Notamacropus eugenii: one gene and its partners. The protein of the gene in region 1 interacts with the protein of each later gene in a pairwise test. Links are inferred from orthologs where the notes say so. Each region holds a gene or a part of one and is shown on either strand. Other genes may lie near its edges.

The links.
Region 2: the proteins of EXOC1 (region 1) and SFR1 interact in a two-hybrid assay, tested with the Homo sapiens proteins (2 studies listed by BioGRID and IntAct). The link is inferred for Notamacropus eugenii from reciprocal best matches to the Homo sapiens genes EXOC1 and SFR1.
Region 3: the proteins of EXOC1 (region 1) and SH3BP5 interact in a two-hybrid assay, tested with the Homo sapiens proteins (2 studies listed by BioGRID and IntAct). The link is inferred for Notamacropus eugenii from reciprocal best matches to the Homo sapiens genes EXOC1 and SH3BP5.
Region 4: the proteins of EXOC1 (region 1) and CCDC88A interact in a two-hybrid assay, tested with the Homo sapiens proteins (2 studies listed by BioGRID and IntAct). The link is inferred for Notamacropus eugenii from reciprocal best matches to the Homo sapiens genes EXOC1 and CCDC88A.

What each region holds. Positions count from the first base shown.
Region 1 is NC_092877.1:107,216,280-107,224,383, forward strand, and holds the start of EXOC1 (exocyst complex component 1), read left to right. Parts: upstream 1-4,950; 5' UTR 4,951-5,180; intron 5,181-8,104.
Region 2 is NC_092872.1:182,660,315-182,667,564, forward strand, and holds the start of SFR1 (swi5-dependent recombination DNA repair protein 1 homolog), read left to right. Parts: upstream 1-4,125; 5' UTR 4,126-4,232; intron 4,233-4,381; exon of another isoform or gene 4,382-4,638; intron 4,639-4,898; 5' UTR 4,899-4,931; coding exon 4,932-5,027; intron 5,028-5,337; exon of another isoform or gene 5,338-5,382; intron 5,383-5,509; exon of another isoform or gene 5,510-5,610; intron 5,611-7,250. Other genes in the region: glutathione S-transferase omega-1-like, read left to right, coding at 1,640-1,793. UniProt on the Homo sapiens protein: Component of the SWI5-SFR1 complex, a complex required for double-strand break repair via homologous recombination. Acts as a transcriptional modulator for ESR1.
Region 3 is NC_092874.1:38,577,318-38,584,347, reverse strand, and holds the start of SH3BP5 (SH3 domain-binding protein 5), read right to left. Parts: upstream 3,156-7,030; 5' UTR 2,917-3,155; coding exon 2,767-2,916; intron 469-2,766; coding exon 406-468; intron 1-405. UniProt on the Homo sapiens protein: Functions as a guanine nucleotide exchange factor (GEF) with specificity for RAB11A and RAB25. Inhibits the auto- and transphosphorylation activity of BTK. Plays a negative regulatory role in BTK-related cytoplasmic signaling in B-cells.
Region 4 is NC_092872.1:650,806,413-650,813,887, forward strand, and holds the start of CCDC88A (girdin), read left to right. Parts: upstream 1-4,364; 5' UTR 4,365-5,239; coding exon 5,240-5,302; intron 5,303-5,409; coding exon 5,410-5,510; intron 5,511-7,475. UniProt on the Homo sapiens protein: Bifunctional modulator of guanine nucleotide-binding proteins (G proteins). Acts as a non-receptor guanine nucleotide exchange factor which binds to and activates guanine nucleotide-binding protein G(i) alpha subunits.

The DNA of each region.
Region 1 (8,104 bases):
CCCAAAGGGCTACAAATCCATGCATGCCCAGCAAGACCACTACTAGGTCTGTATCCCAACATCCTTTTTTAAAGGAAAGGATCTGTAGCAGTTGTTTTTTGTAACAGCAAAGAATTGGGGAATGATCCAACAGCTGCGTTATATGATCATGATGAGATACCATTGTGCTATTGTAAATGGCAAGCAGGATGCTTTCAGAAAAACCTAGAAAGAGTTACATGAACTGATGAAGAATGAAATGAACAGAGCCATGAGAACATTGTATACTGTGACAGCAATTGCATGGTGATAAACTGTGAATAATTTAGCTATTTTCAGCAATACAATGATCCAAAACAAATCCAAATCCAAACAGGATGAAAAATGCTATCCACCTCCAGAGAAAGAACTGACAGAGTCAAATCAAAACATACTACTTTTTACTTTTTTTCATGGGTTTATTTGGTCTGTTTTTTCTTTCACAACATGTTTTACATGATTACACATGTATAGCCTATATCAAGCTGTTTGCCATCTTGGAGAGAAAAATTTGGAACACAGAATTTTTAAAAAGGGAATGTTGAAAATTGATTTTATATGTAATTAGAAAAAAATTATTAAAAAATAAATGATAAATAAATCAACCAAAAAAAAAAAAGAAATTACATGTGTGATAAATACAGAGAAGCCTGGAAAGATCTATATGAACTAATGCAGAGTAAAACACGTAAGCCAAAAAAACCAACATATACAGTAATTAATGTAAATCGAAAGAACAGACAGTAAAAAAGTAAAAAGTGAATATAAAATTATATAGATCAAGTGGGACTTGAATAAAGAAATATGAGAGGATGCACATCCCTTCCCACAGGTGTTACACATGGCACATGTTTTGAGATTTTTTTCAATGTATCTTCCAGTTGTGCTGATTTTTTTCCACTTTAAAAGAAATACTATTAGTTATATGGAATAGCTCTCTAGGAAGAAGAGGGGGAAGAACACTGGGAATAACCATGATAATGTAAGAAACAGAAGACATCAATAAAAGCTTATTGTGTTATAAATCATTTTGTAATAATATGTTGTAAGTAACATTTTATAAATAAATTATTTCCAGAAACAAAAGTATTGACAATGTTATAGTTTAAACATTGATTCTTAAGCAAGCAGTCAGTAAGCCCCTTGAGGCTTTTTGAGAACCACTATTCTAAAAGAGTCTTGGTTCAGAACCATGGACTGCTCTACTCAGAAATAATAGATAATTGTAAAATATCATGTTGCCATTATGATATCACTATCTTCCATATTCTTAGTCTCATAAAGACAGATCACGAAAATCATAGAGTTTCAGAGTGGATATCTTAGGGGTGGTTACTGTTCAGACGTTTTTAGTTGTATATGACTCTTCAGGACCCCATTTGGGGTTTTCTTGGCAAAGATACCGGACTGGTTTGCCATTTCCTTCTCCAGCTCATTCTACAGATGAGGAAACTGAGACAAATAGGGTTAAGTGACTTGCCCAGGGTCACAGTTAGTAAGTATCTGAAGCTGGATTTGAACTTAAGAAAATGAATCTTTCAGACTTAAGCACTATGGTGCCACCTAGTGCCCACTTTGGGGATAATCTAGTTCAAGTATTATCTAAGCAGGAATCTCCTCTAAGATACACCCCACCAATACTCATCCAGCCTCTACGGGAATACTCCTAGTGATGACAATGCTAATCTAGCTTCTAGAGTTCTCTTATTTATAGATATGTCTGGCTTTTTCTGAATGGCTTCTATCTTGCTGTTTAAAATACTTTATAGATGTTATCTAAAATGTTCACAAAAATCACTTAGACGGCAGTACTTGTTACCCGTATTTAGTGGAGAAGCTGACCCTCCTTAGGAATATGCTTTTATATAACAGTTACAATATAGTTTTTAAAAAGAATTATGTAGTGGTAAAGAAGTAGTCTGGTAAAGTGCATAGAAAGGCAGCCTCAGAGGCAGGAAGTCCTAGAGTCCCTGACTCTGACACATATAGGTTGGCTGACCCTAAGCAAGTCATTGAAATTCTTAGTGGCCTGGACAACTGTAGAAGACTGTACAGGGAAGAAAAGGTGCCGATTTGTATTGGTAAAGGGTGTTAACAACCTCAACTTGAGTTCCCAACTTTGTTGTGGTTTGTTTTTTGCCTTTCCTTGTATCCCCAGCACTCACCACAACCCCTGGAACATTAATAAATGTTTGTTGACTGTTGACTGAATGAATGAAATCAGAGGGGTGGTTCAGCCCATGTAGTGACATTGCATTCATATTTGCAATAAAGTCTAAAATTACCATAAAATACATCAAAGTTTGGGTCCCTTCCCCCATCCCATCTCATGACATTTACAAATAAATAATTCTATAAACCGCACTGTCTTATTGTTTCAAGGAAGTTATGTACTGCTTCCAGTGACATCAGTACTCTGACATCTGTGAAAATCTTCCTTCCTTAAGCAGATACATAGATAAATGAAGAATGCTAGGAAGTCTTTTAGCTTTCATGAAAGTGAACAATGCTAAAAATTTGAAGCGTAAAAAAGAAATGTAAAGAAAACAATTCCCAGGAAAAATGATAAACTCATAATTTTATACTCCTTAAGGGACTTCAGCCACCTGTTTCAACCAACAATCAAATGGAGTTTGAATAAGGGACTCAAAGGGGGCATGAACAGATTTGTAGAGTTGGACTTGTTTCTACAGGGAAAGAGATAAAATAAGCCCCCTTTCCTCATTCTGAAAGGTCATTCCGTAAGCCCAAAGGGCTTGGCACAATATCTCCATCTACCCATATTTTCATTCTTGTTAATCCTGAAGCCACCAAGCAAGTCAAGCAAATCTCCAAGGCAGCATGCTGATGGTAGATAGCAGACTACCAGGAAAAAAAATGTTGTTTCATAGGTCAAATGCCTGATTGTACTCTGAAGTAATATGACCTGCTTACTCAATTGTTTGCCAGGACCCTCACACCTCTGTCCCATTGTGTGAATTTGTGTAGATTGTGGATTGTCTGGGGAGAAACTTGCTCTCAGAAATGATAGGAAAGGACATTGTTGATTTCAAGAACCTTTATTTAAACTTCTTGGGCATTTTAGAGACAGACTCTCTATTCCAATAAATATTACTGATAGCAAAATTAATTAATCTCAGGTACAAAATTACAACTGAGGGAATGGATTGGAGGCAGATTTCTAATGACTCTTCCAGTTCTAAAATTCTACTTTATCCATGGTATAATTTACACAAATTTATGTTCATTTGTATAAGGATGGAGGTCTTTCCACTGCATTGCTGCCTATTCCTGCTTTTTAACTCTCCTTTCCTCCTTCATCATTAATAAATAAAATTGAATTTGGAATAAGACTGTCTGGGTTCAAATTGTGACCTTCTCATCTATAAAAGGAAGCTGTTAAGACTTACATCTACAAAATAGGTATAGAACTTAATGTTTGCTGCATGAGGGAATGCAAAACTGGGCACATTTTAAATCAGCCAGTTAACTAAATCCAAAGATCCCATTTTATATAGAGCATTAGGGATATAAAAGAGGTATAAGATATACAAAGTGCTTTGCAAACCCTAAAGTCTATATAAATGCCAACTATTATAGTTTCTGCCCTTTAGATTTTTCTACTTATAGAAATGATAAAAAATAAAATAATAATAAAAAGCAACATTTGAAATGTCAAACACCTATTACACAGAATTCTACTACCTGATAAAATAATTGAGTTAGTCTGTTGAAGGGCAGAACTCAGATACAAAAAAGAACATGAAGGAAGCACTGTAGTCCAGAGGCTAGACTAAATGTCATTGATCCCTGAAAACAAGGGATTCTTTTAATTTTATCCTCAGAACAACTTCAGGGATAAACAACATTAAAGGTCGCCTAGGAGTTCTTCTGGATATATGTGTGTACAGCACACATAGACAGACCAGAGAGAGAGAACAAGGGTGCGCAGACAAAAGCATTGGCAGTGAACCTCCAGTTGGAGAGCCCTTCCCATTCCAAAAGATAAGTGGTAACATCAAGTGATGGATAAGCAGTGAGGTTGGACTGAGGTCCTCTCAGTGCAAAGGAGGGTCTTTAGTCCCAGAAAAAAGTGATCTTTACCTGACGGACCACAGCAAGGATTCAGCCAACAAGGCGAAAAGGTGTTTTCTGCGGTGAGGAACAAACTCCTTTGATCATGTGATAAGTAAAGCATAGGGAATTTGCCTGAGGTGAACAGAGCTTGAGTAGACCAGCATGCCATGTTGTCAACCGAGGTCTGACGTAGAATTTGAACCTTGATCCTCCTGATTCTAAATCTACCCCCATCTCATGTGCCCCCAAAAGAACAAATCACTCAACAAAATTAAAAAGAAACTGGCAAAATAAGTATCTCTGTTTAAATTTCAGACCTTAGGCAAAGAACATCTCAAAGCTTCAGTCACCATAATGCTTTCCTGTAAATCCCACGAGGGCAAAGGCGTGTTTTTTTTAATCTTTGTAGGTGCAGCACCTCGTCCAGTGCTTTACACAAGGTAGATACAATACTTAATGTAACTTAGTAACATTCTGAGTGTCTCAGCGAATGAAACATTGTAGCCATCTGTGGTACAGCCCCCGTAGGAGCAAGTTTCCTCATTCAACTGGAAGACCCCAAATCCATCAACAAGTGAGGTGCCAAGCGATGGGGAATTAAAGACAAAAAGGAAACAGTCCCAGCCTTCAAGGAGCTTACATCCTGAGGCAGAGGGGTTTGGGTTTAAATTTTCACTAGCAAATTGAGCTCTCCCTTTAATTATTTAAAAATATTATTCTGAGAGGGTGACTACAGATTTCCCAAAGGTGCCCCGTTCCAGGGCGAAGTGACCAGAAGTCCACGGGATAGAGGGCCTGCCCCAGACCCCGCCCCCTCCCGGGTCTCCCAGCCTCGTCCCTATTGGTTCGCTCTGTGTTTGTCTGCGTCTCTCTCTGCCTCTCCCTCCCTCCCTCTCTGTGGTTCCTCCTTCCGGCTTGACTCCCGATCACGTGACCGGATGTAGGAAATGGGCGGGGCCGGAGCTTTTCCGCAGCTTCCTGGAGAGACGGAGCCCGAGGGAGAGAGAGAGAGCTCTCCGGCTAACTGCCGCGTCCTCGGCCCCAGCCCGGTGCCCTCACGGAGGAGCCTGCCCGGCGCGGCTCGGGTAAGGGGGAGGCGGAGGCCGCGGCCTGTGCGCGGTGACTTGGGAAAGGGCCGTGGTCGCCCCTCGGGGCCGCTCCTCTCCCGGAGAGACGCGGCCGTCATCTCCCCGGCGTCGCCCCTGCCCTGCCCCCCGCGCGGGCCCGGAGGGGAGCGTTCAGGCCGCGCCTTCTCCGCTCCTGCTCCGCGCGGGCCTGGGTCCGGGGCTTAGCTTCCTGACAGGATAATGGTCATTTTTGTCGTTCAGCGTCCTCCTGACCCCATTTGGGGCGTTCTTGTCAGAGATACCCGAGTGGTTTTTGCCATCTCCTCCTCTGACTCATTTTACAGATGAGGAAACTGAGGCAAACAGGGTGAAGTGACCTGGGTCACACAGCTAGCCATTGTCAGAGGCCAGATATTTTTTCTCGTACCTCCAGAGTCTTCCTTTTCCACTGAGCCCTGCAGGGAGTTAACCTGAGATCAGTGGACACCTCTCCCACAGGGATCTGCGGATCAGTTTTAGGGGGACCTTGAACTTGGATATGGGGGAAAAGAACCTGCATCTTTATTTTCACTAACCTTCATCTGAAAATTAGTATCTTCTTCTATTATAAATTTTTAAAATAAATTCTGGGAAGGGATACATGGGTTTCAGCAGATTGCAAAAGATGTTCACACAAAAAAGGATTACGAATTCCTGCTCTAGAGCATGTCTGGGTTTTCCCTTATGTGAGTGCATCCTGAATTCTCCACTCTCCCTGCAGCAAAGAAGGAATGATGCGTGGTTCCCGCAAATGTTCCCTGGCAAAAGTGAGTGGTGGCCAGCGCACAGAGTAGGAGTCAAGAACCGGGGGTTCTAACCTGGTACTGCTGCTATCCCACAGCAAATGTAATTGGTCTTGGATGGGTCCCTTGGCCTCTCAAAGACCCCAGTTTCCTCATGTTTGAAATGAAGGAGTTAGATACTCTTTGGCTCTAGCTAGAAACGTTTGTTGTATTACCAGAGTTGTACTATTCCAGAGGCCAACTGAGTATTTTTACCTTTGGAGTAATTTGTAATTTTCCTGTTTTTCCAGCTGAGTAGGAAAACACTATCTCCTGTTTAAATTGCATGTCCTCCACGAGATCTATTTTCTCATTTGTTTCATAACTAATTAGAATCAGTAATTATTACAGGTAGAAGGCACCTTAGAATTCATCTAGTACAAACCACTTATTTTACAGAAGAGAAAACTGAAACTCAGAGATTTTGTAAGTTGCCTAAGGTCTTACATTGAAGTAGTGGGCAGTCAGGTCTAGAATAGAGATCTCCTGATAAAATTCCTGCTAGTGTGCCATATTGACTATGGGGAAACCTTTTAGCCTTCTTACCATTATTCACTTTAAACCAAATCAACAAGTATTTATTGATCATCTTCTATATGCCCAGCATTGTACAAGACTCCATTTAGGTACCTTTTTGACTGTGGGCAAGTCACTTCATTTCTCTGGACCTGTTTCTTCATCTATAAATTAAAAAGTTGGACTAAACTATCTCTCAGATCCCTTCCAGCTAAAAATCTGCAGTCCTAAATACCAGACAGTTTCTGCCTTCAAAGAATCTTAGGGTATAATTGAGGAGTTAAGACAAATAAATGAAATACATACAGAAAAATACTTAAAGGATCCTTAGTTTCCTTAGTGACAGGCATTAGCTCTTCCAGGACAGACTACAACTTCTCTGTCCTAGCTGTGGTGTTTGAAGTACTGTAGATAAAAAAAATGTATGTGGTAGCTAAGCTGGCATTCAGGGTCTCCTTACTTAGCTATGCTAGTCTTCAGTTGACAGAAATACAGAAGAATAGCCAGACTTCCATTTGATGCCAGACCTGCCAGAGTTTACATTCCACAAACATAGAGAGCTTAGAGTCACCTCTGTGCCATGAGGAGGTATCAGATTAAGATTTTAGTGGAAAGAACAATATGATTAAGTGGCAGATTGTATAGTACATTAAATACTAGAGAGATCTAAGGGAAAAATCAACATGGGCTGGAATAGTACTAATTGATATTGGGTAGACCAGGAAGCGTCTCTAGGCCTTAGTTTCCTTACCTGTAAAATGAGAGTTGGACTGGGTGACATCTAAGATCATTCTAGTTCTAAGTCTTTGATTTATGATCCATTTGGACTTGGCTTCAGGGAAGAGCTATGACTCCAGTTGGATTTTGAAGAATGGTTAGAATTTGAATAGATGGTTGTAGTAGGGAATGAATGAATGAGTGAAGTACTTAATATGTGAAAAGCACTGTGCTACAAGCTACAAAAGCACTGGGGATACAAATATAAAAGTAAAACAGTCACTACTTTCAAGGAGCTCACATTCTAATGGGAGAGAACATATGTAGATTTTACCAATGTCAGATGACAAGGTCCCATGATCCTTAGGATGAAGTGGCAAAGCAGATGCTAATACTTCTTTAATGATATTTCCATTGATAAAATCAGATCATTTTGTGATGTTGAGACATTTGACAGGGCCAAGGACTTTGGTGGCAAGAACTTTCTTTTCTAGGTCTTTTAAACACCTGGCACACCTATAGGAACAGTTGTCAAACTGAATCTCCGCAAGGGTGGCTTTCCAGAATGATGGTTGTGGTCACCAAGCTGGAAGCATTGCTATTCCCAGGCTCTTAGGTTCAGGATCCTAGGTGTCTCCACCAGGGTCTGAGAAGGGATGATAGTCAATATAATGGTGGTGGTTTAACATGCCTCTTATCTTTCCTTCAGGGTGTCACATTGCTGCGTGACATGCCTTCTGTGAGAGTGACAGTTGGTGGAAATGACCCCTTCTCCAAAGGGGTCATTGGATGATACAACCATAATCAGATATGAAAGCAGGACTGGTGGCCTGGGGGCTTTTCTGCTTTCAGAGATCCTGTGCTCATTTTGGTCTGCACTTTTGCTAG
Region 2 (7,250 bases), on another chromosome or scaffold:
AGACTGTGAGAAAGTTACTGAGCTCTAAAGAAAGGAGCTAGGCCACAATGTTCGAGGACTGTTTCTGATAGACTTAGCCCTTCCCAGCAACACAAGAACCTAAAACATTCCCAAAGGACTCGAGGGAAAATGCCATCCACATCCAGAGAAAGGACTACGAAATCAAAATGCAGAAGGAAGCAGACTATTTTCTCTTGTGTTATGTTTTGGTTTGGTTTGGTTTTTCTCATGGTTTCTCTTATTTGTTTTAATTCTTCTATGCAACATGACTTTTGAGAATATAACTGTAGAACCCATATAAGATTGCATGCCATCTTGGGGAGGGAGAGGAAAGGGAGGAGGAAAACATTTAAAACATATGGAAGTGATTGTTGAAAACTGAAAACAAATAATCCATTAAATTTTAAAATATATATATATATATATATAAAAGGAAATGAAGAAAAGAGGAAAAGAAAGGAGGTAGAATGATCTGGATGTGAAAATCTGGACACAAGACAAAGTTTGGACTCAGATAATCAAGAGGGATGTAGTGAACTTCAAAGAAGCAGATGCTTGCTGAATGATGATAAGAAAGGGACAATTTGAAAATAAGAGTAAGGAAGGCGTATACCTATTCTTCCTCTGTGGGATCAAAAATTGTCCAATCTGCAAGAAAAGTCCCTCAGTCACAGCTCCAAGCCAATAGCATATTATTAAAGGGTCCATGGCCCCCTCTAATGAAGTGGACCTCATATCTTCCTCGCAGTTGGAGACACCCTTGATCACCAGGACCTTGTTTATATAGGATTGATACCTGGACGCTTGAGAGGCGACACAAAATACAAAATCCCATTGGTTGATAAACCTTGTTTTGAGGGCCAAAAATGGTGCGTCAACTAAAAAACAGTTTATCAGCAAGGGGATCCTAGGTTGGGTAAAGCACACAACGTCTCTATTGACTAATTATTCATAATATGGCAAAGCAATAGTCATCTTTGGTGACTAAGGAGTCATAAGATGGTTACCTTCTGGGACAAGAGAGAGTGGTTTGGAGGTACAAAAATTAGCTGGGGAGACTTTCCAAAGAATTAAGGCATCCACACTGGGTTTGGACTTGGAATTTGAGCAAAACAGGATGAAGTTATCTTTGTCAGCATTCTTGTGGGTGTGCAAGTGAGCTTTGTAACTGGTAAACAAGTGTTAAAAACTGGATTAAAGTTGGAAGCCTACTATAAGAACCTATCTTTTCTAATTATCCATATATGATTTACATAAAATATCAAATTTATTAATACTGATTAGAATAGAGTAGGGGTCTAAATGAACCTTTCCTCACACCTTCTAACCCACTATGATAGGGAAAATGAGAAAAACACAGAAATTCAGACCCAGAAGGGACTGCAGGCTCCATCTAGTCTAACTCATTGCTGAAAAAGAATCCCCACAATACTGCTCCCCCACATTTCCCAGTCCTAGAGAGGGTGGCCAGGGGTACAGGATGGTCTGTTCAAGGTGGGGAAGTATTTTTTAAAGGTTATAGTAAAAAATGAAATAAACTGCAAGGAAAAATACTAATAAATGTGAAAATTTGTGGTGCTTTCCGATTTCATGCAAGTAATAACTCCCTTCTTTTTTTAAAAAAAATCTCTTCTCTCAGTTGTATCGACCACACTTCAAAACTGAAGCTCTGGGTAGCAGCCATGAAGAAGGATCCTGCAGTATCAGCCTTCCTGACAGATGAGAAAACTTATCAAAATTTCATGGATCTCTATTTTCAGAACAGTCCTGAGGCCTGTGATTATGGTCTGTGAGGGGAGAGTGATCAGCAGAAAAGGTTCTATACCTTGCTCTCTAGGTTTCCCTCCATACTAATAAAAATCATATCCTGTATGGAATGTTGCATAATTTTTTTACAGATTGTTCTCATACCCATCCTCTCCTTTACACTCATTCTGTTTCCTTAGCTTGATGCTTCCTCTTTGCATGTCCCACAAGGCCTTTGAGCCTTCCTCTGGATGTCTTACTCCTACAGTGAGCTTGTGCTATCAGCTCTCTACTGATTATGAAGATTCTCAAATCAATATTTTCTACATTTTGGTCTCTTAATGCCTGAAGCAAATGTTTACTTCAATGTGTTGCTGTCAACTTGAGCTCACAACTGTAATGGAATTAATCTTGTCTTCACCAATGGAACTCCTTTCTAATTAAAAAAAATTGTGGGATACAGTTGAATGTTTATTGGAGTAATTGCTATGGATTTGTACGTAATCAGAGGATCTGGGTCCAGATTTTGGCTCTTTTGTGAACAGGGGCAAAGGACATCATCTCTCAGCTTCCTCTCTTATTAAAGTGAAGATCAGAACAGCTACCATTCTATCAGTGCAGCCTCTCTATCTCTTATCTCAAAGCCCTTTTGCCTCTGGCAGCCTGGAAAGCTGCAAACCTCTAGAGGGTGGCTGCCTACTTCTTTCCTGAGGGTTCAAGGTGTAAAGATGAGTGACTGGGGGTTTCTTTTTAATGCCATTGCCCAGCAGCCCCCAACTGATTATGAGGTCCTATCAATTAGCTAGCCAGACTTAACCTTTAGAAAGAAGTATTGATTATGCTAGTATATTAAGAAGAGTGCAAAACATCTCCTCCCATCCCCCCAAACGGGAGTACTGCCACAAGTGCATATAAAGTTCAGGGAAACGTGGGCTAGGCTTGGAAATCACGTGTGGCAAAGGGGTTGCTCCTTTTTGTAAACTGGAGCGCACTCTAGGGAATTTAGATCTCTCTTCTCCCCAAAAGGGGAAAACAGCCTGAGAACACAAAGGCCAATTCTTGAGATCCAAATCCCCCTTTTCCCTAAAGGGAAGAAAACCAGAGAAAGACAATGCCTATGAAATTAAAGGTTTTATTAAGCAGGGAAATAAGACGTGCATGGGAGCCGTCAGCCTAATGCTGAACAACTCAACTGAGCAGTGGGTAGGATGATATAAAGAATTGGGAGAAAAGGCAGGAATTAGGTTGGTCCAAGGAAGGAAGGAAGCAGAGGGTCCCATTCCCAAGGGGAGGGGGAGATCCAGGAAATGGGTAGGGGAGTGGGGAATTCCAGGGGTCAGAGCCGTGGCCTTTTGATGGATAAATCAGAAGATACTCTTGGTAATAACCAACCTTGACAGCTACAGGCTTGAGCGTAAACAATAAGTGTTTATCATAAACCCAGGATCAGTGTGTAAGCGCCCCCCAACAAGAGTGAGGGGAGTCTCCGAAGGTAAGCTTGTACCTCGAAGGTCTACACCTCACACAAGCGTCTGCTTTGGGGTGAAGCGCTCACTCGGCTTCGGAGCTGCCCAGGCCTGCGGGGACGTCACGCCACTTTCCAGCTCAGCTCCCCACTTCTCGGTGGGATCCCTGCTGGGGAGCAGGCGCGTTCACAAATGCACTTGTACCCTTACGTAAGGGGCAGCGCTCTGCCGCCCCCCGCGGAGTCCTGAAGCTGGGCCTCCCCTGGGCCTGGTGGAAGGCTTGGGGGGGGAGAAGACCGGCTCTCCCCTCCCACCCGGGGCTTACCCGGCTCTCCCAGGTCCCGCGGACTGTTGTTTTTCCCGGGCTTTTCTCGGTCAAGCACTGGGTGGTTCACCATTCTCTTCTCCAACTTATTTTACATTTGAGGAAACTGAGGCAGACAGAGGCCTTGCTCCGGGTAACACCGCGGAGCGGAGAAGCCACATCAGAGCTCACACCCCGACCCCGGGCCGGGGCTCCCCTCCGGGCCGGGGCTCCCCCGCACTGCGCCGCCAAGCCGCACTTCCAAGACGACGCCTCCGTCTTACGTAACACAGGCTATGAGAGTTAACCCCCAAAGCACTAGGAAGTCATGGAGGGGGAAGGGCCAGGGGATCTCAGGGATTAGGGAATTCCCATGGGGCACTGCGCGGGGAAGGAGGGCACAGCGGCGTCCGAGCCAAGGATCCGTTTCAGGAGAAGATGGAGGGGGTGGGTTTGTGAATTAGGGCGTGTGCAAGGCCGAAGTTCGAATAGGTTCGAATTCTGCCTTGGATTCTAGCGGCCTCTTGGACCTCGTCGAGTGTAACCGGGCGGCTGCAAAGGGAGATGGCCCCGATCCGTTCTGTTGTGGAAGCTGGACTTGAAGCGGAGGGGATGACGCGGTGGCAGCTTTGGACTACGTTTACCAAGATTCGGGGCCTAGACGTCCTTACGTAGCTCTTTAGGGAGTGGCGGAATAAAAGCGCGCAAACGCCGAGGTAGGCTTTTTAAATATCTAGTAGGAGTTCCAGGAAGCAAACAAAAGCCCCGCCCCTCCCCGCCCCCCTCGTTCCTGCCCCGCCTTTTCCGCTCGGCTGACCAATGATGTCTCGTCTCGAGTTTGGTTATGTTTCCCGCCAAGCGAAGAAGGGGCGGGGCGTGGATGCCGGTGGCCTGTAATCCCCACCCCAGCGCGCGTGCGTACAGCGAGGCCGTTTCCTCTGTCTGGAGTGGGTGGGGCCCATTCTCCTAGGCGGCCCGCGCTTCTGGCAAGCGCCGCCTCAGGTGCGTTCTCGGACCGGAGCGGCAGCGTGTGTCCCCGGCCCGCGAGTAGGAACGAACCCCGTTTCTGAGCCGAGGCCGGAGTCCCGGCCCAGCCAGCAGCTGGAACCGCCCTCCCCAGAGGCACGCTGAGGCAGCTGGGCCTGGGGTTCTTCTGGGCCGCCCCGGGGCCGAGCGCGCCTCCGGCCGGGCTGGGGCGGGGCTGCAGCGGAGCTTGGGAGCCGCGGGCCCCGGCCCCAGGGTGGCCCGAAGCCTCGGGTCAGAGGCAGCCCCCCTCGGCCGCGGCACCGGAGTCACAGACAGGCCTCAGAACTGGGCTCGGGTCCGGGGAGGGAGAGGTGGTTGGAGGTTGGAACCTAGTTTGTTTCCTGTTTTGTTTCTAGAGCAGACCTGAACGTCCTCCTGTCCATCCGGAGATGGACCTTCCCTCAGCTAAAACCACGTCCTTAGCGGCTGCCCCCGAGGCCGGCGACCCCGGGACACTAACTCGGAATAATAGTCCGGGGAAACAGGTAGGAAAAGCGCCCCGAGACCTGGCAGCCCGGGCGCCGGCAGCCCGGGCCCTGGCACCCCTGGCAGCCCGGGCCCCGGCACCCCCGGCGCCCCCCTGCCTCTCCAGGCTCAGGCAGCCCCCGTGGGAGATCAGATCCAGAGATGACTCGTTGAGGCCGCTTGTTTGATGGAGAAGGAGCCAGGGTCAGTGGAGGTTAGGTTTTCCCAGGCAGTAAGCAGCAGAGGTTGGATTTGAATTCAGGCCCCTGACTCCTCGCACCGTCCTCCGTGCTTGGGAAGGTGTTGTTGAAGCCCATCCCTCTCCTCCAGAGCCAGCCCCTGGACGTTTCCTCCTGAAGACCTTTCCCCATAGAGGTACCCTGGGGGTCCCTCACCTCCATCCCTTTCTTAAATCACTTTTCTTGGACCAGTCCTTTGCATTTATACTTTTTCTTGTGTTTTTTATAATAATCTTCCGCCCTTCTCCCCCACCCTCCTTTAGATTAGAAGCTTTTAGAGATGGGAGACGGCTAGGTGGTCCTGTGGATAAAAGGGTAGACCCAGACTCAGGAAGACCTGACTTCAGATCCAACTTCAGACTGGGCAAGTTACTTACCTCTGTTTGACTCAGTTTTCTCAGCTGTAAAAAGGGATAATGCCAGTGTTGTTTTGCGGATCAAATGAGATAATATTTGTAAAGTCCTTAGCACGGTACTTTACAGATAGATGCTATATAAATATTTATTTTCCCCCCACTTACCTGGGCGAATCTTTAACTTCTCAGAGCTAAAGTTCCTCCTTTGGTAAAATAAGAGTTGAATCAAATGATTTCCAAAGTCTCTTTTAACTTTAAATCCTATGATCTACTTTATACACTGTGCTCTGTAATAGAAACATTCAGTCAAGGACTATACATTCTACTTCAGTAGAGTTAAAGCATTTTGCAAATCTTTTAAAAAAAACCAAAACACTTTAGTCTTACCATACCCCATCCTTGTCTTCTCTGTGGTGTAGTGAAGTAGTCATTTCAGTTCAGTAAAAAGCACCTTCTCTCCGCTCTGCTTAATTATGACTGCCAAGTGTTTATTTAGTCAGTCAACAAACATGAAGCATCTGTTAGGTTCTAGGCACAGTACCAAGATCTGGGGAGGCTAAAGACAATCCCTGCCCTCATGGAGAACAAGATCTACAGGGAATGACCACAAGTAAACAAATAAGTGCAAGCAAGCTTTATTTTGGATAAATAAGAAATAACAGAGGGAAGGCACTAGAATTCATTTCTTCCTGTAGAAAATGAGATTTTAGTAGGGACTTAAAAGGAAGCCACTATTGTTTTTGCATGCAATTGGGAAATAAGATGTTTGGGTAAGAGGTATAGAAATCTGTCTTGCCCAAAGGTAGGGGTGATAGAAGGGATGACAGATTGGGAGAAGGGGTTTTTGGGGTTGCTGTCTAGGGGTAGGGATTGGGGAGAGAAGGGGAGAAAATTGGAATTCAGAATCTTGTGGAAGTGAATGTTGTAAACTGAAAATAAATTATATGTTAAAAAAAAAATTTTAAATCAAGAAAAAAAAAGGAAACCAGTAGATGGAGATAATGAGGGACAGCATTCCTGGTATGTGAGACAGCCAGAGAAAGTGCCCAGAGCAGCTTATTTGTTTGAATAGCCAGGAGGCCCAGTGTTTGGATCAGAAAAAATGTGATGGGGAGTAAGGTGTAACAAAATTGGAAAGGTAGGGACTAGGTTATGAAGGGCTTTGAATGCCAAATAGAGGATTTTGTATCTGATCCTAGATTCCATAGAGAGCCACTGGGGTTTATTCAGGAGAGAGGTGATGTGATCAGATGTGCACTTTAGGAAAATTACTTTGGTGACTCAATGCAGGATAGACTGGAGTGAAGAGACCCACCAGAAGGATACTAGAATAGTCTAAGTTTGAGGTGATGAGCACCTGAACTTAGAATGGTAGCAATGTCAAAGGACAGAAGGTGGCATCTGAGATTTGTTTTGAAGGTGAAATCAACACCTTGGCAACAGATTAGATATGGGGAGGGTATGAGAGATAGTGAGGACTAGGGTAAGGTCCAGGTTGCTCACCTGAAGGACTAGTAGCATGACATTGATCTCTGTAGTAATAGAAAAGTTAGGGCAAAGGGGAGAAGAGGGAGAATTTAGGAGAAAAGATAATGAATTCAGTTTGGGACATGTTTGAGAGGTCTACTGGACATTCAGTTCAAGATTT
Region 3 (7,030 bases), on another chromosome or scaffold:
ATCACTGTGCTAAGCACTAGAGAAGTCTGAGCTCTACTCTCAAGGAGCCTTACAGAGCTTGTAGAACTGGAGTCACAATCTGGACACGAGGCAACTTGCTGGGCCCCAAGGATCCTGGATTGTTCTCCCCAGATCCATCAGGCCTACACTTAGGTCTAGGTGATGCAATGCAGACCTTTGAGACTGAGCCTGGCTGAGCCAGCTCCAGTCGTGAAAAGCAGAGCAGGAATGAGAAACCAGGCTCAGCTGTCTGAACCCAACTGTTTCAGTTAGTTACTGGCCAAGCTCCCAAGGAGGCAACCCCAAGGCTCATCTCACGACCACTAAAATCAAACAACAGGCCAAAATAAGAGTCCCATGGAAACCCTTTCACAGAAGAGGGGAAGGGGACACAGAAACCTATACCTCCAGCTCAGTTTCCCGTCTGTTGATGTCATCCGTGGACTGGTTTAGTTTCTCCAGTTCCCCCTGGGGAAAGAAGGAAACAGTTTAAAGCAGGGACTCCTAACCAGAGGGGTCTGCAAATCTGGAATGGGGGGGGGGGGAATATGAAATCTCTATCTTCACTAATTTCTAACTAGAATTTAGCATTTCTTTCAATAACATACAAACATTCTTCTAAGAAAGGAAGACATCACCTGACACCTTAAACATGACTCAAAATGAACATGACTCAAACAAAGGTTAAGAATGCCTGATTTAAAGATTTATAGTTTTGTTTGCTTGTTTTTTTTAAAGTAAAGCTAGTGTATTACCTGGAAGCAGACACAAAGGGAACAAAATAGAAGATTAAGGGAGAATTATTAATCCTGACAGCGATCCCAAAGAAAATAGCTCAGGCTCTAGCTGGAATGTTAACTAGAAACAGAAACATGGATGAACTTTCTCATGTTTTAAAAACCTTTCCATGAAAGGGGTCCCTGGTTAAGCGGGAAGAGGAGATGGTGAAACCACCATTTAAGAGTGTATGAGTGTGTTTGTGTGTGTGTGTTTGTGTAAGATTTTAAGACTAAGTCTTTTTTTTCTGGTAATCCCACCAAGGGTTATTTCTCTTTGCTTACAATGCAAAGACTTATTCCAGGAACCTGACTTCAGAGTAGTAGAATCTGCTACCCTGGCATGGGTGAGTGCCCGAGAGCTAAGGGTTGATTGACTATCTTTTTAACATGGTAAGAAAGGAAGCCTGCAAGTCCAAAAATAAATCGAGGTCAAGAATCTACCCAGCTCCCAAAACTGTAAATCAAAGGCCTGACTTCTGACAATAGCTCAGAAGGTGCTGAGGGCTTTTTTCTTCTTTGTTAATGAATGGATTAAAAACAAAAACGGTGCGAGCTAGCCGATGGCCTTAGCGGTTCTTACACCGGAGAACTTTTATTATGACCCTGTCCCTGGCACTGAAAATTGGGGTTTGTAAAAGAGAGAGTTAAAGTTGTGTGATCGATACTCCGGAAACAAAGAACCTTGCTCGGAGCCTCAAAGAAGGTGGGAAGCCCTGGTTTCAAGGAGGAGAAATTGAATTATTTTCATTCAAAAGCCTCATTCTCGATTTCCCACCTGACCTTTATCTTGCTAATCGGTTCCAACAATTCATTCAAACCCCATCCATAGAGTTAAATGATCTTTTAATTGATTAGTGAACTGAAAAACCAATTAGGGCTCAAAAAAATTGCGTAAGAGCTTTTAAGCAATAGAAAAAATGACCTCGGGGTGGAGGAAGAGGCAAGATCCTGGAAAACATCATTTATTGTATTGTGTTTATGAGTTAGGTGGTTCTAGGAGAGGGAAGGTGAGTTCTCGAAGCCAGATCTCTGCCTGAATTCTGACCTTACTGGGTTTTTAAACTTGTTTTTAGGAGTCAGAAGCCAGAAAGCTCCCCTTGCCCCATATTTCGGCAGGGCGGCTCTAAATCCCTCCTGTCCCAGCCACCTATTCGCTGACCACAGCCCCAACAACAAGGAAAAAACCCAGGGTTTGCTGTAAGGACTCAGGCCAAGGGGCTGCTCTGCAGCGAGAACCCCACCGAAGTGACAATGAAACCACGCGGGCTAACAATGAATTAGAGGAAAGGGAAGACTTTCCTATGGGGATGCCCCGATGACTCACCCCACCTGGGGTCGGGGCACCTGCACACTCGGCTAGGGAAAGCCGAGGTCCTGGGCAGAATGGGTCCCTGAGGGACATCTGCTCCCACCGCGACGATGCCCATGAGGGTGGGGGCAGACCCTGGTCACGGGACGAGTCCTCTCGGTGCACGAGAAAAGGAAGGAGCCAGGACGTTAAGCAATTTCGTGGCCAGACCCAGAGCTGAAGCGCTACAACTAGGCACTGACCCAAGGGGCAGAGCGAGGAATTAAATCTCCCACCGCCAAGCCAGTGCGGGGCCGGGAGCCTCCCACTAGCCCCCCCCATTTGTCCTTTGTTGTCCACCTCCCGGTGAACCGCTATCATCTCCATCCCCAGATGCTGTCGGAGGGGGCTGCCAACAGCGGGAGCCCACGAGCAGCGCGCGTGGGTGCGGTAGGCGAAGTGGGGAGGCCTCGCCGAGGAAGGGGTGTCCGGACCCCCGCCACGTCCCCCCAAACCCCAGCTCCGGCCCAAATCAAGCAGCCCCCTCCCCTGCCTGCAGTCCACGCGGGCGTACCGCACCCACTGGGGGAGGGAGTGGTTCAGGGTGGGGGTGTCAGCTCGGGCTGGATGGGGGTGTACGAACCCGGACCGCCTAGAATGGGGGTGCAGCAACCCCCACGGACGCCCCCCACCTCGTACCTGAATGCGGGGGTCTACCTCCTCCTCCTCCTCCTGTTCCATCATCTCGGGCTCCATCTCGTCCTCGTCCTCGTCCCCCGTGGGTGGCGGTGAAGGGCTCACCTCTGCCAGCCGCTCCTCCGGCCGGCCCCGCTTCGGCGCCGCGTCCATGCGGGCAGGTTGGGGTGCAGCACGGCCCCGGGCCGGGCGCCCTCGGGAGCTCTGAGCGCCTCCGGAGCGCAGCGGTGCGGAGCCTGCCCGTGTGGCCCTTGAGCGCGGCGGACACCCGAGACCCCGGCAGCGTCCAGGAACGCCGGCTGGCCAGCCTGCCCCGGGAGGCTCGTCTTCCCCTCGGGCCGGGCCGCGGCCGCTGGAAGGGGAGGAGGAAACGCGGGCGCCCGCCCCTTCTGCCGATGCTGTCAGCGCAGCATCCCGGCCTCCTCCCTCCTCCTGGGCAGCCCTGCCCCCTCCCACTCTCCTGCCCTGCTGTCGGGACCCTCGAGGCCCCCCGGCCCGGCCCAGCCGGCCCGCCCGAGGGACGCAGCTCCCAGCGGCTAATGAGGGAGCAGGGGCTGGAACTGAGCTTTGGTTGTAATTCTGTATTGACGGTGCAGCCGGCAGTCACTGCCGAGCAAGGAGCCCATTGGCAAAGCCTCTGGTCCTAGCTGGGGGCAGAGTCTCTTGGTTATAGGATAGGTGACTGGACAGATAGTTCCTTATATGTTTATACTTATAAATCCGTGGCTACATATGGGACGCGTAAAACTACCTACACAGTTATACATACCCCGTAGTTACAAAAGTTATGTAATCATATGTAACTATATTGATAAGGATAGTTACATATACTACGTAACTATATCGTTATAAATATGTTAGGTATAGTATACGAATAACTATGTAGTGATATACTGTGTATAACTATAACTATGCATATCGTTATAAACATATAGTTTTTATGTAACTAGATTGTGTACATATATATATGACTATATGTGTGTATATGTATATACATACATACAACCTAAGTATCTTTTAAAATGCCTTTTTAGAGAGGGAAGAATCTGTTTGTCTCACTATTTAACCTTGGGTAATGGGGCAGCAGGAGACACCTGGTTTCTAAACCTGCTCCTGCCACTGGAGCCTCATGAGTTAGAACAGGAAGGAGCCTTAGGGATCGATCAAACAGTCCAAGAGATGAGGGCTGCTGGGTGGAGGTATCTCTGAACTTGGCGGGGCGGGTATCCATCTTATTTTCACTAATCTCCAACCGAAATCCAGCATTTCTTTCAACTACTTAAAAACTGTGACTCTAAGAAGGGGTCTATAGACTTTTTCAGATGGGCAAAGCAGCATATGAATCAATAAATATTTATGCTTAATATTTATGCCTACTATGTACCAGGCACCCAGTGCTAAGCCCAGAGGATACCAAAAGATACCCCACTAAAATGGTCCTTGATACAGTCCAACCCATGCCAGGTGCTGGGGATACAAACCATAGGCTCCTACATCCAGACTTGGAAGGGCCCTCAGAGAAGGAAACTGAGACCCAGGTTGAGATAATACATTGAAATGCTTTACAAACCTTATATAAATGCAGCCTGTTATGCTTGAGTCACATGCCCAAAGTCACACTAATAGTAAGCATTCAGGAGGGCTCTGAAGCCTCTGTGACTTAATAGCTAGTCTTTCCACACCTACCCTCAAGACAAAAAACCACAGTCCTGGCCCTCAAGCATCTCCCTTTCTATATGGAATACATTTTTATAGCTGAGAAAACCAGGTGCAGAAGAATGAAGTGACTTGGCCCAGTTAGGTATCTGTAATCTTGTTTCTAATTGACCCTCCTGAGGGGTTTGGACTAAAAGGTCTGAAAGTTTCCTTCTCATTCTGTATCGGTACCTGGAATGGAGCCCCCCAGTATGAGTCTATGGTGCTCCGTTCTCCTTCATTTACCTTCTCCAATCATCCTCCTTCCAGACTTCAGTCAGACTGTTCGTGAATATCTCAGATTGGCCAGACCAATTTCCTGATACAAAGGGGTGAAAGCAGGGATGTGCTGGTAAATGTTTAACACCCAGCTCTCCTGTGGGGAAGGAAATGTAGTTAGACACATTTTAAAGTTTTATCTGCATTATTAACATTTTTTCCATCACTTTCTCAAATCTAGACAATCAGCAAATCAATACATCAAGCCATAACTTGTAGTTTGCCAATTTCCAAATTATGAAGTCTCACCCTTTAAATAGTCTGGATTTGAACTTGTGAAGATGAATTTTCCTGACTCCAAACAGGGCACTCTATCCACTATGCCATCTAGCTGTCCCAAGTTGATCCATAGGTCCATCCATTGATCTGACCTTTCCAGAAGCAATTAATCAATCAACAAACATCTATTTAGGCCTACCACGTGCCAGGCTCCTTGCCAGGCTCTAAGGACAAAAGTACAAACAATGGAATGATCGATACTCACCATGAACTCATGTTCCATTGGGGAGACAAGAAGGACATTTAAAAATAGATAAAACATAATTATAAAATTTATAAATACATGTTGACAAATAGACTAAATACAAAGTAGTTTGGGAGGGAGGCCACTAGTGGTTGGGGAGATCAAGAAAGGCCTTATGCAGAAGATGGCACCTGAGCAACGTCATAAAAGAGAGGGACTTTACGTTGGAAAGAATGGATTTCATGAATGTTGGACAGTCAGCACAAGAAGATGGCCTGGAGATGGGAGGAGAGTTGGTATTGATTTGATTACTCTACCCAAAGTAAGAGATAAAAAGGTACAGGACACCTCGTAGTGACCAGACCAATACAAGAGGGCTGGATGGGATGTGCAGTCTGGTCTGCTCTGGGGCCTGTAGTCACCAAGGGGAATTCTCTCACCAATCCCAGCTGAGGGTCAGAAGCCCAGCCTAGGGCTGGAGCTCCAAAAGCTGAGTAGATTCACTCCCCTAGGGACTTGGGGCATAGTTTCTGGAAGTATCAGTGAACCACTTCTTTACCTGGATGAAACACTGGAGAAGGACTTTAGTGAAACAATTGTCCATCTCTCTGATTCATTTGATGCCAAGTCCTCAGTCACAGGCACAATCTTAAGCATAATATAGTTGTTACTAGAAAATACAAACTGGGAGCCAAGATGGCAGAGTAACAGCATGGACTTGCTAGTGCTTTCCCCCCAAACCTAGCCAAATATATGTAAAAAATTACTCTAAACAAATTATGGAGCTACAGAACCCACAGAATGACAGACTGAAGCAAATTTCCAGCCCAAGACAGCCTGGATGGTCTCCAGGAAGTGTCTATCATGCCACACTGGGAGCAGAACGCAGGACAGTGTGGGCCATGCCAGCACAGATGGGACCTGAGCAAGCCTTGGAAGGACTGAATCTCAGGCACCTGTGGCGATTTCCAGACTTCATGACCCCAAAATGCTGAGGACAAATTGGAAGGTCAGTGGAAAAAACCTGTGAGACCAGTGTGAGAGAGTAGAGTGGTCTGACCCCAGCCCCGGGGTGGTGGAGGGGGTGGAGCAGCCTGCAGAGGAGGAGCCCAAGGCAGCAGGAGCAGGGGCAAGGGCAGCAACAGAGACTGTTTCTGGAGCTCTAGGTCCACAAATTGTGAGGGGATCAATCAGCTGACAGTACACCCCCAACACCACTGGAATCAGAGAACTACTATGACAAAGAGATCACGAGTCAAGTAAATGGCTGGGAAAATGAGCAAAAGCAGAAAAAGAATCAGACTATAGAATCTGACTTTTGTGACAAGGAAGACCAAAGCATACAAACAGAAGATAGCAAGGTCAAGGCTCCTACATCCAAAGCCTCCTAAAAATATATGAATTGGTCTCAGACCATGGAAGAACTCACAAAGGATTTTGAAAATCAAGTAAGAGAAGTAGAGGAAAAATCAGGAAGAGAAATGAGAGTGATGCAAGAAAATCATGAAAAAAGGAGTCAACTGCTTGCTAAAGGAGACCCCCCCAAAATACTGAAGAAAATAACACTTTAAAAAATAGACTAACCCAAATGGCAAAAGAGATCCCAAAAGCCAATGAGGAGAAGAATGCCTAAAAAGCCAGATGGAAGAGGAGGTTTGAAAGCTCACTAAAGAAAATAATTCCTTAAAGATTAGAATGGAGCAGATAGAAGCTAACGGCTTTATGAAAAATCAAGAAATTATAAAACAAAGCCAAAGGAATGAAAAAATAGCAGACAATCTCATTAGAAAAAACAACTGACCTGGAAAATAGATCCAGGAGAGAAAATTT
Region 4 (7,475 bases), on another chromosome or scaffold:
GGTAATTCTGTGTGTACTATTTCGGTCACTGTGTAGTATATTGCACTCCCCCTGCATGCAATTAATTATGAAATGTGAGTCACAGATCACTTATAGGCAACTGACACAGACTAAAAGTCAAACAACAGAAAGAGTTTTTTAAAAATTAGGGAAAAATCATGTGGAAAGCAATCCAGGGAAAAGGAGTTATCTTCCCTGTCTTCCCATTGATTGAAAGAAGAAGCCACCAACAGTAATGTCAGTCTGTTCCAACCTCCTCCATCAGTGTGCTTGGCTCTATAGAGAGAAAAGGTCTAGGGAGAACCTAATCTGCAATGATCAGAAGTTAGTCTCTGATCTCACATCAAAAATGCCTGAAAGGGCTTTTCTCTCTTCAACAGATACTCCACAGCAGCCACTAGCTTGTTGTTTCTGGAAACACAACTGAGAATCCAAACTGGAATCTGCCTAATGCTCCAGCTCATCTCCCTCTCCCCCAGTCATGGTCTCAACTTGGATAGCAATCCCAAAGAATCAATTATGACCTGTAGAACTTCAACTCTAATCATGAATATATCTGTATCTCTGAGGCACTCAGATCATAAATGTATAGTAGTTCCTTGGTCAGACTTAGAAATATTACCTGGTTGGATATTTAGGATTTTATTCAAACAAAAAACTTTTTTTACATTATTGTTAAATTAAGGCTATCTGTGAATTGTAGAATATTTAGATACTTATCACCAGGCCTTATTGTGATCTAAAGTTTCCTGGTTTTTCAACAAACAAGTTTCTTTTTCCCATTTTTTAAAGGAGAAAAATCAAGGGTAGGTTCGAAAAGGCCTAGGCTTGCCTGGTCAATTTGGGGGAACCCAGATTTCCTTGAGTGTTGGTTGGCTAATGTAACTAATGCAACTTCTATAACTCTCCCTTCACTAACCATTAGATTAAAAATTCCTTTGTTCATTTGTTATTAGTAATAACAAATAATAATGTCTAGCCAACATTTTATATAATACTTTAAGGCTTGCCAAAATTTCAAATAATCTTACTTGATCCTCACAACAAATCTGTGTGCTATATAATATGTTATCTCAATTATTGAACTGGAGAAGACCAAAATTCTAAGAAGTTAAGTGATTTGCTCACATCAGGAAGCAGCAGAATTTATATTTTATTTGTAAAGTAGTTATACTTTATACTGTTTGCTGAAACAAAGAGTAATCTCTGTCTTGAATTTTGTGGTAGGTCAGATGGGGATGGGAGTGTAGGTTTTGCATAAGTGATCATGAAGGCTGTTCACTAGGGTGCAATTGGTTGCAATGGTCACTGATGGAGAATGTATCCGTGTTGATGAAATCATATATCATTTGAAGGACATTTGAATGGATCTGACAACTAGTTATTTTGGAAGTTTCTTCTAGTGATTCCCATCCTATGTAACTCTGGTCTTCTTCCTCCTAAAATTTTACCTCCAGGAATCTATCCACAAGCAGAATAGGTCTTCCTTGAATCTAAACTATACAATAGTGCCAGTAGAGCACATGACCATCTACCTCTCACTCCGGACATATGACAAGTCCATCTTGTCTTTCTTTCATACGATTCTTGCTGACATCTTTTACAACTGTTCTTTTGTTTTTATGTTGCAGCCCTTTAATACCCACCTTGAATCTTTCCATTGCCTCTTTTGGTACTACTTGTCTTTAGTTTTTGGAGGGAGTGGTGTTTCAGATCTTCCTGAAAATGTTTGCATTAAAAAGATGGGCTTTTACTCTTATGGTAAGCTTGAGGGTCAATAAATATGCTTTGCAATCTCCTGAAAGCTCTATAAGCCTTTCCTCCTTTTCGACTCTGAGCCCAGCTCATTATTCATCTGTTTTTCTGTTCCAGATATACATGCTATTGGACAAGTTCTATTGGGTATCCATTCACATGTATGTGACACATGCCACAGTTGGACACACTGAAATTTCACTTTATCATGGTGATGTTATTTTGGTCCTCCTTGAAGACGAAGGACAACAACCAACCAACCAAATAACATGTGTGTCAAAATCTGGGCAGTAAACAGTCTTCATTCATTTGGTCTTTCCTGTGTGGGTAGAAAAGGCAAACTCCTTTGAGTGATTACAGATCTTTTTCAAGAGGCTCATGTCTTGGGGCTTTATGCAATCAACACAATGTCATCTGGAAGATCCCACCATCTACTGGGAATCCCTCCTTGATAGGGACTCATCATTGAATCTTCTTTTTCATGGTGGTATAGTGAAGCATTTACAGTGAAATTTAGCACCATAGTATTGTAGCTAGATGGGACCTTAGAGGTACCTAGTCCAAACCCCTTCAATGGAATTCATTATCTTTCCCCTCAAATCCTTCTCTCTTTTGACATTCCCCATTACTGTTGAGGGTACCACTGTTTACTCAGGTAACTTTCTGTTTTCATATCTCACACACATAAGTTGGTAAACTATTACAACAATTAAAGGAAGAAATGACAAGGACCTGAATTAAGGTGGTAACTTACTTGAGTGGAGAGAAGACATATGTATACACATACACATATGTATGTGTGTGTGTGTCTCCAAGAAATATTATGGAAATAGAAACAGCAAGATTTGAGAACTGAATGGACATGATAGGAGTGAGGAGTTGATGGTGATGCTGAGACTGCAAAGTTAGATATCTGTAAGGATAGTGCTTCTCTTATCATTAATAAGAAAGTCTGAAGGAGGGCTGGGGTTGAAGGAAGGAAAAGATAATGAGTTCTGTTTTGGATATGTTGAACTGAAGATGCCTGTGGGACATCCAGTTCTAAAACAACCACTTCAGCTGAGGTCATTGGTCTCTTCCCCTTCTGATGCATTTTCCACAAAGTTGCCAAGGTGATATTGTTAAAGTGTAGAGGTCCAACCAAGTCACTTCTCTCCACAAGAACCTCTAGTGACTTTGGGTTGACTCCTGGATCAACTATAAAGTCCCCTGTTGCTCTTCACAACCTGATCCTTTCCTGCCTTTAGAGTCTTACATTTTACTCCCCTGCACATATACTATGATCCAGCTATAGGCTATTTGTGGCTCCTCTTCCATGAAACCCCATCTTCAGTCTCCAGGTCTTTTGGGTGGCTCTTTCTCATGTCTGAAATGTTCTTCCTCTTCCCTGATGCCCATTAAAATCCCTGGCTTTCTTCAAGACGGCTCAAACTGCCTTTTCCTGACCCCTCAGCTGCTAGTGCCTTCCTCTCCAAGGTTAAGGTCCGTGTACTCTGTGTGTGGTGCATTTAGCTCTTTATTTGCATACCTCCTATATTAGAATGTAAGCTCCCTGAGGGTCTGCATTGTTTTGTTTTTCTTTGTATCTCTGGCAGTTAGTACAGTGCCTGGCACGTAGTGCTTGTGATTCATTGACAGGCGGGCAAACTGATGCCCAGGGGACTTGTGGCTTGCTGTACAGAGGCAACCCAGCTAGCAGATACCCAACCAGCCACGCTCTCTATCTCTCCTTTTATCTCCCCCACTCAAAAGAAAGCATTCCCCAGAAATGCCTGTCTTTAAGTAAGGAGAAGACTGTGTCTGATGCGAGATGGAGGCTGTTGTTGGGTGGGCACCGGACTGACGACGAGAAGCGTAGTCACCCCCGGTTCATCGATCACCCCGCCGGGCTGCTCCCCAGCGCCCCCTCGCAGGGGGGCTCGGCTCGGTTTTTGTCATTACTTTTAACGGGAGAGTAGTCTGTACGAGGAAGGGCCGGCGGCTCTCCATTGTCGCGGCGCTGCGCGCAGCCTCGGGTGTGAACGCGTGCTTTTGGTCCTAGGATCTGTGTTTCCTTTCCTTGTGATTGTCAAGGACATGGGCCCTCCGCGGGCTGGGTGGAAGTGACGGGGTCGTGACTCCGAGCACCCGAGCCTCCTTCTAGCCGTTTCGCGGGGGGGTGGGGGCGGGGGTGGGGGGACGCGAACGCACGGGATCAAATGCACCTATAACCGGACTCCCATTTCTAAAACAGAAAATAAAAATGCGGTTCGTCTCTTTCACAATTCGAGGAAGTCGGACAGAGAGAGTGGACACATCACGGGGATGAGAGGGGCAGACACAGAAAAGCCCTTTCCTTCTCTTCCCCTCCCCCATCCCCCATCCCCCCAGGCACCTCTTTTGACTGAGGCGGCAGGCGAGGACTGCAGCAGCTGCGGCGGGCGCGCGCGCGCGCTCCCCCGGCCTCTCCCTTGGCCCTGGGCGGCGGCAGCCGGGGAGCGCGCCTCGCTCGGGAGCGCGCTCATGCAGCGGTTTTCTTCTCCCACAATCCAGAGGCTTAGGCGCGGGGAGGGGTGGGAAGAGAGGAAAGTAGGCGGAAGGATATCGAGGGCGGAGGGAGCGAGCGCGTTCTCTTCCACGGGAGGGAGGCTGGCGGGCGTGTGCCAAGCCGCTTCAGAGGGTGATGCGGCTCTGCGGTTCGGAGCCGTTACTCTGACTCCTCCTGAAGGAGGAGAGGAGGCGGCGGCGGCGGCGGCTGGGGGGTGGGCACGGCCGTGATTTAGTCCCTGCGTGTCTGAGCCTAGGCAGGCTCAGCTCCGGGGAGACTCGCCGAGGGCCCCGGGTTAGGACAGCAGCGCCGAGCCCCCACCCCTGGGAGGGGAAGCGGGGCAGCCAGCGAGGTTTTGGGGCTACGAGAGGAGACATGGTATCGGTGGAGGAGGAAGGGGGAGAGCGTCGCCTTTGACTGGTGTGCGGCGGCGGCGGCCCGGGAGGCTCGGCAGCCCCGGACGCCCCCTCCCCTCCTCCCCGCCCCGCTCGGTCTCCTCAGCTCCGCGGAGCCCTCGCGGACGGCGGGGCATCTGCCTCGGGCGCTCGCTCACGCCGGGAGCCGATTGGTTTCGGGGAAGGGAGCTCCCCCCGGAGCGTCTCCTCCCGGAGCCGGGGAAGCTCGCGGGGCTTTTTGTCTCCTCAGCCCCAGCCCCCTCCAGATGCCTTTTCCCTGCCCCTCCTCGCCTGGTGCAGACATTGGCGGCTGCTGGCGGGGGCTGAAGCCGGACCCCGGGCTCCGCGATCGGCTGTCTCTGCTGCTTTGAGGAGGGACGGGGCTTCCCTCTCCACCAGGAGCTTCTGCTCCTCTGCGGAAATGGGGTTTCATTGATTCCAAGAAAAAAACTAGCGACCTTCCACCCATCCCCGTGGAAGATTCTTTTTGTTTTACCCCCCCACGTTGGGCTTAGTTTTTTAGAAAACAAAACAAACCACGAACGACACACACATCTGTAAGATGGAGAATGAGGTTTTTACTCCACTCCTGGAACAGTTCATGTCCAGCCCCCTGGTCACTTGGGTAAGTGGGGTCCCCCTAAGGCACTTTTCGTCTGGGGGCGGGGGATGCATCTTGCCGCAGAGAGGGAGGTCGGAGTTTGTTTAATGATGAAGGCCATTACATTTTAGGTTAAAACATTCGGACCTCTGGCTGCAGGAAGTGGGACCAATCTGGATGAATATGTAGCCCTGGTGGATGGTGTCTTCTTGAATCAGGTCATGCTACAAATGTAAGTACCTTTTCTTTCTCTGCCGGACATTTCGTCTTTGGTTAAAAACAAACAAAACCATTGTGAACTTCCAGTTTGGGGATTTGAAGTCATGTAGAGTTCTGAAACGGCTTTTTGTCCAGGTAGGTCCATGTGGTCTTTGAAGGGAGATGGTCCGATGCTGTCTGTATTTTGGTGGTATGATTTTTTAAAATTGTAAGGTGAAACAGAATATCGGTGTTTTTTCAAAAATTTTCATTTAACACCAGAATGTATTGTTCCGTGTTTGTTTTAAATATTGTAAATTCAATCCAAACTGTGTCATAATGTAGCTCCCTTACAAAATAAATTCCGCTTTCTGGAAAGAAGATGGAATGTATCCAGTTTATAAGAAAAAAACGGATCTCATATAAAGTACATGGATTTGTTGCATGGACATTTCTTTTGTACCTTTAGGATTAAAAAAATATTCAAATTTTGAATCTCTTAAAGTAACAGATTGTAGAAGATAGAACTTCAGACAATAGAAATGATTGGTCAGGACTATTGATGTGATTGTAAAAAGTTTTTAAGAAGTTTATAAAATCTGTGAACTCTTGCCAGATTTGCTGAGAGGACACATTTTTGGAGAATATTGAGGTTTAGATGCACAAAGCCTTTTTTTTTCCTTAAATGACAGCCAGTAGATTCTAAGTTGTCCAGTAGACACAACTCTTGGAGGAGGACACTAGTTTTTCACTCCTATGTCCACACAGCCAAGCAGAATGCCTTGCAAGTGCAATAGGTGCTTATTAAATGTTTGAATCGAACTAGATATGACTTAATAGTTAAAAACTCTTTGTTTCTTATGCTCATACTATATTGTATTAAGCAGTGAAGTGTGTTGCTATAGTGGAAGCTGATTATTGAAATACCATTTTTAACTGATTAAAAGAAAAATAAACACTTTTATTTTCATCAGTAAGTCAAATCTGTATACTTTGCCTTTTTAATAGAGGTTGCCAGAAATGAAAATGGTTTAAGTTCTGGACAAAGTGTAATATCATACTATCCGTATTAAGTAGCGCATGACATTTGGAACATTTGACATCAAGACATTTGACATTTTTGATACGTAGGAATTTAGTGCATTACTGGAAGCAATTGTTTTTAGGGACGTTTCCCAAAGAATGACAACTTGGATATTTTTTAGTTTACTTTTGTGTGTAAAATAATGTAGATCATATCTGCAAATTTATATACTGATAATTTTAAAGTGTATTTGATGGGTATGTTCTAATTCAGTGATTAACCTTTTTTTTGTGTCATGGACTACTTTTGCAATCTGGTGAAGCCTATGGACTTTTCAGGGAATAATATTTTTAAATGCATTAAATGCGTAGGATTACAAAGAAAATAAGTTATGTTGAAATAAAGATGTAATTTTGTCCAGTTCCAGTTTACACACCCCCTGAAATCTATCCACTAGGGGGTTTGTGAACCCTACCTTAAGAACCTCTCCTCTAAAGTAGTTTTTGTGCTGTTTTTCATATCTCTAGCCATAAAGCTATTGGACTGCTTAACATTTTCCCAAGTTGTCTTGTTTGCAAAATTTAAAATTTTTACATAATTTACTAATAATACAGTGAATAACATTTTTTGAATTGACTGCTTATTAAACATTGTAACCATTTCAACAAGTGTTTATTAAGGGCCTGCTTTGTGCCAGGTACTATAAATTGCTGACAGAGTGCTAATATGCATTGATAAAATGAGTTTCCTAAGTGGGAGTTCCCTATATCAATGAAATAACAGGTCTGGTTAAAAAAAAGAAAAAAGTGCCAGGCACCCTTGTAGGAACTGGAGATACAAACTTTATAGAAAGTTAGGTGCTTGAAAAATGTTTAGTTCTGGAACACTTAAGATGTTGAGAATCAAATAAAAAGCATTTGAATTAAACACATTTTCAAGGTTGCCTGATAGAAGATAAAACAGCTATAAGCAACT